Danio rerio: one gene and its partner. The protein of the gene in region 1 purifies or fractionates together with the protein of each later gene. This does not show direct contact. Links are inferred from orthologs where the notes say so. Each region holds a gene or a part of one and is shown in the gene's direction. Other genes may lie near its edges.

Region 1 (4,497 bases):
CAGTCAAACTAAAGATGTTAATGAAGATTAAAGGCTGGCAGATTTAAAATGGTGATGCTGCACTTTTATATTCAGTGGCAAAACCAACTTGGGCATCTTTTCATCTCGTGACATTGGAAATATAAGAAGACCAAAGGCCAAGGGTCAACAGCAATAGTCACAATCGAAAATTGTCAGATGTGCAAACTGAGATGATACAAACCAACACTGAGTAAAAATAAGTCAAAACAAAGAAAGACTGCATTGTTACAAGTCATGTTTGCAACAAAAGTGGAGAGCTACTTTATAACATTGCACTGACAGCTAATCGCTATAATACATGGATCTTTTTTCAGTCTGTCCTCTGTGCAAGATCTAATAGTGTCTGTGTTAATTACTAGTACAAACCTGTGATTAATTACAGACAAAGGGATAAAAGTTAGCTGCATTTAACATAATTAAAACCAACATGAATGATGGATAACAGAAAGATTATAATGTGATTAATCAAAACTCAATATGCAAATTCATAAAACCATAAAGTCAGTATGCAAATTTGTAGTGTAATTAATCAAATTTGATAGAGCTATTAATGCACACTGTCACTCTCTAAACTCTTGTCACTTTTGATAATGTTTATGTTATGCTACAACCACTTTGGTTTTGCATTTGATTTACTTGCACAGATATGCACATGTGAAGGCTCAAAGAATCTGTGTAGGTACAAAGGCATTGGATTTCCTACTGATGCAAAGGATCGTGGGATGCAGGAATGCCTGAGTAAAAGGGAAGGGTCATGGTCTTTCCTGTAAATGTCACACACTCATGATGAGGGCGATTTGATCTCCTGCTTCATATGCACGGTCTGGGCTAGTTTTAGAAGGTCAGAGTGGACAGACCATCTCAAATATACATATAATACATACTAAATACATTTATTTAATAATTTATTTATTTTAGCCAGTGTACAAATTGCATAGGGTTACAAGCCTAAATTACTTCTGCCTGGTTTCCTTATACATAACCTGCAAACCATTTATTTCTCATAATGCACTACATATTACTGAAGTGCTTACAGAATCATGGCCATTTGAGAAAGCATAATTCTCGATCATAGTCATTGCTTCTTTCATAAAAAGTACAAAGGGAAACTTTGATATGTCACTAGTTATATAATATTTAATACTCTAGCAAAGCTTGGTTATCATCATCATCAGTCATATATGCCATCATCATCATCATCATCATCATTATTATTATTATTATTATTATTATTATTATTATTATTATTATTATTATTATTATTATTATTATTATTCAGTAGATGTAGTAGTTTCATTCACTGTACCCCAGTACGACCTTGACATTCTAAGGGGGCGTGGTACTTATAGCCTAAAGTCCAGGGGGCGTGGTACTTATAGCCTAAAGTCCAGGGGGCGTGGTCAATGCTATCGCACCAGATATAAATTATCCTCGTGTTCGTAATCAGTCCACTCACACCAAGTGTCAGGACGAACAGAGGCTTCTCACAAACGGTAAATTTAGTTATTTCATGTTTCAAATGCTTGAATTATTTAGTGTTTAATTATGTAGTCTTTGCTCAGATTGCGCTGGTGAAGCCTTTGCAAATGTTAGCAACTTTTAAATATATGTGCATGTTAATGGCATGGAGCAACATTTCTAATGAAAGCTGAGAGTTCATGCTCTTTAGAACTTCTAGCCTACATTTTCTGGCCAATTGGGAAATGCTTGAGTATGAATACAACAGGCTACTGTGAACTACAAATGTGTATGAACTTTTTGTTCACTCTCTATCTGTAGTTAGAGGTGTTGCAGTTTCACAACCTGTACTTTGTTCCCATAACGAAAGACGCCTATAATAACGTGTGAATTAATTACAACCTTTTGTTTTCCTTCCAGAGGACACAACCAAATCAGGCATAATGGTTAAAGTTGGTATTAACGGGTATGTACTCCATTTGATTCAAATATGAAAGAAATGAACATTAGGCTGCTTGCAACTTTTATTATTAATTGTTTTGAACAACAGGACATCAGTTTTATTTTATTATAAGCTTGTTTGTTAGTGTTTTGCTGTTAAATGCTTTCTGGAAGTTGTATTAAGTTTTGACTTTCTAATTGATTGTAATGAATGGTTGGAGGGGGTGTCACCTAAGCCAGCCAGTCAAACTGCTTTATTGGTGTTGTGCCATCGCTGTGTACATTGACGTCATCATGACGACAAATAATGGTAATTTTTATCTGTGTACTTGGCTTCTTTGCCTTGTATTTTACTCCAGGTTCAAAGTTTGCTTCGAGTCTGCATTTTACTTAGACCATGTTGTACAGGACTCTGGGTTCAAGAATCCAAGCTTGTGTGTTCTGCATTGAAAAACCCCCAGCACCAGCTGTGACCTTTTCAAAGCTTATTGGGTTGTGTAACAGGAAACTTGATCCTGAAGAGACCAGTACAGGACACATGCATATCGTTCATGTGCACACAACCTGAAACTTTAATGCTCATCCAGGACTGTGCTGTGAAGTTTAGGCACCCTAAATTACAGCACAAGTCTTTTGCGACTTAAAATATCCACCTTTAGATGGAAGTCTGTCTTTAGGCACTCAAAAGGTTATGACCCCAAGTTCACCCCAGTGGTGTCCTTAAGTAGCCTTGGTTCATTTTACAAGCAAGAAATTTATAATAGGCCTACTTTGCATTTTTGCCATGGGTTTATACAATCTAAAGTTATATGAAACTTCAATTATGCAAGTAATTTGACATGGTCTTCAGTTTATCAAATTAATAACTTTAAATACAAAATCCCTTTCTAAAGCCTGTTACAATGTCACTTGACTTTATGATTTGAACACTAATGGCACTGGACAAATGGTCAATCCACATTTGCTAAGAGCACTGGAAATTTTTACCTTTGCCCTGTTTCTCTATCTTTACAGACTTGATGCAAATGTTTTGAAAGTGTACCACTACCATATCAGTGTCTTATCAGTGCATGAAAGTATGTACTGTGATCATTATCGCAGTATCAATAGGCTGCTTTCTTTGACCTATTGATTGAATGTACAGCTGAGTGTTGCAATAAACAAAAAGGGAATTCTGGAACTCCTTGTGGGGTCAGTCCTTCTTTCTCTGCATTTTGTGCAGTGTTGTTGGATGTACTAAAATAGCTCACAATGGCAGCTGGAGGCCTATGGAATTTGTATCCTTGCCTGGAGGACATGCCTCTATGAAGCTGGGGCAAATATTTGTGGAGATCATTCATCCAAAAGCCCATTCTTCATGATCTAGCTCTTAATCTCCTGTAGCACATAGTTGACTTTCCCCAGAGTTTATTTATATTTTTGGTTTATTATTATTATTATTATTATTATTATTATTATTAATAATAATAATAATAATAATAATAATACTATTAATTACTTATTATTATTTATTATTATTATTTATTATTATTTTTTAAAATTAATTTATTTAACTGCTGTCTGCTCCCACTCTCCAATTGACCCAGAGTTACTGCGCTCACAAGGGCACAATGTTTGACTTTGTGCATGTTCAGAAATGGGTCCTTTCTGCCATCTAGTGGATAAGTTGCCTGACTGCGGTTGTTTTCTTTTTTTTTTCTTTTTTCTTTCTTAATGTGAGATGAAAGCAAGTGTTTATGAATGAGCTTTTTTTTCAGATTCGGTCGCATTGGCCGTCTGGTGACCCGTGCTGCTTTCTTGACCAAGAAAGTGGAGATCGTGGCCATCAATGACCCATTCATTGACCTTGATTACATGGCAAGTTCCTTAATTTTTTTTTTTTTTATTTAACTAGTTTTGGGGTTATTTTGAATATATTTATAGTGCTTGTTTCTTCACAGGTTTACATGTTCCAGTACGACTCCACCCATGGAAAGTACAAGGGTGAGGTTAAGGCAGAAGGCGGCAAACTGGTCATTGATGGTCATGCAATCACAGTCTATAGCGAGTGAGTGCGGTTCCTCCAAACTATGCATGGTTTTTATTATTATTATTATTATTATTATTATTATTATTATTATTATTTTTGCAAGCATTGGGCTATGCTCATGATCTCTGCCTAAACAGGAGGGACCCAGCCAACATTAAGTGGGGTGATGCAGGTGCTACTTATGTTGTGGAGTCTACTGGTGTCTTCACTACTATTGAGAAGGCTTCTGTACGTAATCATGGATGTTACATAAGCTGCCTGCAACAACAATTGTTTTTCTGTAACTGAAATTTTGCTCTCCTGGTAGGCTCACATTAAGGGTGGTGCAAAGAGAGTCATCATCTCTGCCCCAAGTGCAGATGCCCCCATGTTTGTCATGGGTGTCAACCATGAGAAATATGACAACTCTCTCACAGTTGTAAGGTAAATGGTGTTTTTATTATTTATTTATTTATTTATTTATTTATTTACTTATAAGTATTTGCTTGTTTGAAAATTGATTCGTTTTTGATAATAGATAAAGCACCTAAATTTGGCTAAAGCTTTTA
Region 2 (3,940 bases), on another chromosome or scaffold:
TTTTCAGGTTACATAACTAAAACATCCACTTTTGCTTTTTTCAAGAACACATATTCAAGAAAATATTAAAAACTGAACCAGCTGCATCAGATCTTTCAGCATTGTCGAACTACAGCTGCCTTATTGAATCATGTCTTTTAATCATATTCGACTTCGGTGTTTGAGATCCAATCATTGAGCTAATAGTACAACCATTTTATAGAAAAATGACTATCTTTAAAAGCTGATTAACACAACAGTAACAAATGTATTATTATTATTATTTGTTTTCTTTTTATTAACACATGAGTCAGTGTTGGTGAGATACAAATTTAATTTTTTTTTTATTATCTAAATAGTGTTTCCAATAATCATTCATTCATCTTGTTTTCAGCTTATTCCCTTTATTAATCTGGGGTCACCACCACAGCGGAATTAACTGCCAACTTATCCAGTTTTCCCAATTCACCTATACCGCATGTCTTTGGACTTGTGGGGAAACTGGAGCACCCGTAGTAAACCCACTCGATCATGGGGAGAACATACAAACTCAACACAGAAATGCCAACTGACCCAGCCTATACTCGAAACAGCAACCTTCTTGCTGTGAGGTGATCGTGCCATCGTGATGCCTTGCAATAATCAAATGTTAATAATACTTTATGTAGAAATATAATATATAAATACCCAATTTATATGGGAAAAATCTTGGAACGTTGTAAATTTATATTGAGCAACTTTATTACATTTTCAATAATGTAATAACATTTATTTATTGCATTTTTACTTTTTCTATATTTTTTATCATTTGTTTTAAGCTACAACTTGCATTTGTTTTTTTAATCTACTGTTAATTAATTGTTTTATTAAATTTAGATCACTTGTTAAAATCATATTTCAGTTTTTTATTTATTGTTTTAAAATCCTATGATATGTAGTTTATTTTTATCCAGTTTTATTCAATTTTTGTTTTATACCAAAGTGCTAATTTGTCTAAATAAAATATTATATTCTTATAACTCCTAATCTGAGGACAGTACTTCTTCCATCTGTGTGTTGTTGGCCCAACGTTGTTCTCCTTCCCGCGTTCATGTGTCTGAAGCGCGTTCGCGTATCCTTGCAGCGCCGTTCCCGTGAAAATATATTTCAACAGCTTCAGTCAGTGCGCGACACCGAGACTGCCGGGCGACAGCAGCGTCTCTTTTTAGCGAATGTGGAAACACAAACAACCAAACGATTAACGGACATATAACCTAACGCTGCCCGACGTGTGGTGAATTATTTTTTACAATTAATTCGTTTGGCAGCAGAGGGATATTTTCTGGAGGTAAGTGCAATGTTTAAATCCTCCACTCGAGGATAATGGATCTGTTGTTGATTTTACTAGGCTTAGCGAGCTAGCTAGCTTAAAAAGCGGCTAGCCGACCATGCTATCAACAATTTTACTGCATTCCTCAGCAAAACACATCTTGTGAGTTCATTTTTTTCTTTAACACAATGTGATTCGCTGTGTGGTTCTTATCCAGTAACAAAATGCTTTTTAAATATTTTAAACGCCGATATATGGTCCATGTAGCCATTATTAGCCTGCCTTTGCTAGCTTTATATGCTTGTGCTAAGTGAGAAACACTGTTTATGTGACGAAATCAAATGTAATGCAACCAGTGCAGTGTTTTCCAATCGTAATTAGCGTATGTGTGCAGACGTGTTATTTCTGTTTATATTTCAGTCCTAAGATTAAGACCTCGTTTATTGTCAACGGATCATTTTTGACTGTTTCTAGCCATACAGAGATGGCTTGACTGACAGAAACTGTATTAGTTTGCGGTGCAAAAGCAGCCTCACATTATAAAAGTTAACTTGAACACAGAGACCGATACCAACATGTGCTACAGAAAACATTTTATCACTGGTTATGGTCAATATAACATATGGTGGTGTTGATTTAGAAGTCAGCCCAAAAGAAAAACATGCATAACGTTAAGGCTAACCATCAGCCGACACTGTGTGTAGGGTCGACACGATCAGATCGAGCATGTTACAGTAAAATCATCAGATGTGCTTGTGCATGTGACACCTAAAGGAGCTTAATGTCGTGAATGCTACACATGGGATTTATTTTAAGCTTTCGTGCTCGCAGACGCCTTGAACTTGGCTGCTCGATCACCACTCCGATTTGTTTACAAAGCGGCTGCAATTCGCCATGGAGATCCTATGCTTACATCGTTGTTGCGACTCAATTAGACGGTACTGTTTTTGTTGTTCTTTATCCTTAAGGATCCGTTTTAGCACCTCCCCTATCAATTACAGTAAACGAGGTTAAGTTGCAGGTGGTTGAAGCAATAGCTAGATAGGATAGGGTCAAATCCCTTCTGTAACTAACCCTGTTGTACTAAAGGTAATCTTGTTGTGAAGATGTTTTGATGCATAAATGATGCAATTTCGTGGATGTGACTTTTGCAGTAATATCTTAAAACTTAAATTTACATAGAAAGTATATGTTAACATTATATCGAAACATCTGTTTATATTTTCCAAAACAGCTCACCACTGAGATATGGGAGCAAAAAATATCAATCTGTAATTAAAAAAAAATTTAAATGAGCTAAATAAACATACGTTTTGGATCTGACTAAAGAAGTCTGCAAGTTTACAGTATACAACATTCTTTATAGAAATTCTGTGAATGAAACGGCACAACCCCAAAGAAACAATGCTAATCACAAGGAGAAGAGTTGGCTTAATGTAGAACAAAAATTATTGATTTTATTTTACATTTTTGCATTTATGAAGAAAGAGCTTCGTTATGAATATGACATTTCTCAATTATGGATGTGATGGATGTGAAATTAGCACTTGTGTGACTTTGGTTAATCAAATATAATTGTTGAAAAACATTGACAGAAAGATTTTTAATGTGTTTTTTACTATGCAGTAAAATACAGGCCTACACAAACATAGAAAGGGGTTCACTACTTTGGTGAAAACATAATTCATTTTTAATGGCAAGGTTAACATTTGCATGAAATTGTTCAAAATAAATCCAGGTTTTTAGAAAAGCTTATTTTTAAAAAGAACTGCTGAATGTTAGAAATGTCATGAGGTTAAACACATTTTTTTTTTTTTTGGTTTCATCCTTGTCCAGGTGCTTGGTAATGCAATCCTTCACCTTCATTTGTGAGGTGTGAGGAGAATGAACTGTATACATATTATGTTTGGAAGCATTCTTCACAACGTTTTTTGTTATTATTGTTTATAAGCTCTTCATATACAAATGTAGGCTCTCTGGCGGGATCTTTTTATGCTTACAAGCACAGAATGACTTAAATATGTCTTTAACTATTATATATATATATATATATATATATATATATATATATATATATATATATATATATATATATATTACTAACAATAGCAGTAGTTGTAGTAAAATTTGTAATAATTAAATGATCTGGGTAGGGCTGCACAATATATTGTTTCAGCATTAATGTGTGAATACGCAATAGTCATTTGCAGTTGTAATTTGTTGATTATATTTTATGCACTCCTCAACAAAACCATCCCAATGTGTCTAAAATTATTAATTAAGCTATCTTGAGATAAATGGCAATATAAAGTGCAGAAAATGTAAATATCGCAATGTACATTTTTTCCAATATCCTGCAGCTGTATATCTGGGGATATATTCCTTATAAACAAAAAAACTAAACATTTTTGAATAGATGGTTTTTAGTTAAAAATGTCAATTTGTTGCTAGGATTTTAAACTATTTCTTATGTCTTTCTTAAAACCATGTCAAGTTGATTCTTCAACCCTTTACCTATCCCACCAAGAAAAAAAATATTTGGATTACATTTCTCAACTCGTAATGTCATAATTAACACACTCAATGTATTTTTTTTTTCAACACATCCTATAAATTCTGAAATATCAATCTCTACCAAATGTTTGAAATGTT

The links. Proteins that work in one complex are often made in the same cells at the same time.
Region 2: the proteins of gapdh (region 1) and siah1 purify together in Homo sapiens (affinity purification with western blotting; 4 studies listed by BioGRID). This does not show direct contact. The link is inferred for Danio rerio from reciprocal best matches to the Homo sapiens genes GAPDH and SIAH1.

Annotation. Positions count from the first base shown.
Region 1 is NC_133191.1:17,266,606-17,271,102, reverse strand, and holds the start of gapdh (glyceraldehyde-3-phosphate dehydrogenase), read left to right. Parts: upstream 1-1,471; 5' UTR 1,472-1,514; intron 1,515-1,899; 5' UTR 1,900-1,922; coding exon 1,923-1,945; intron 1,946-3,677; coding exon 3,678-3,777; intron 3,778-3,860; coding exon 3,861-3,967; intron 3,968-4,086; coding exon 4,087-4,177; intron 4,178-4,256; coding exon 4,257-4,372; intron 4,373-4,497. UniProt on the Homo sapiens protein: Has both glyceraldehyde-3-phosphate dehydrogenase and nitrosylase activities, thereby playing a role in glycolysis and nuclear functions, respectively.
Region 2 is NC_133193.1:19,825,026-19,828,965, forward strand, and holds the start of siah1 (E3 ubiquitin-protein ligase Siah1), read left to right. Parts: upstream 1-1,140; 5' UTR 1,141-1,306; intron 1,307-3,940. UniProt on the Homo sapiens protein: E3 ubiquitin-protein ligase that mediates ubiquitination and subsequent proteasomal degradation of target proteins.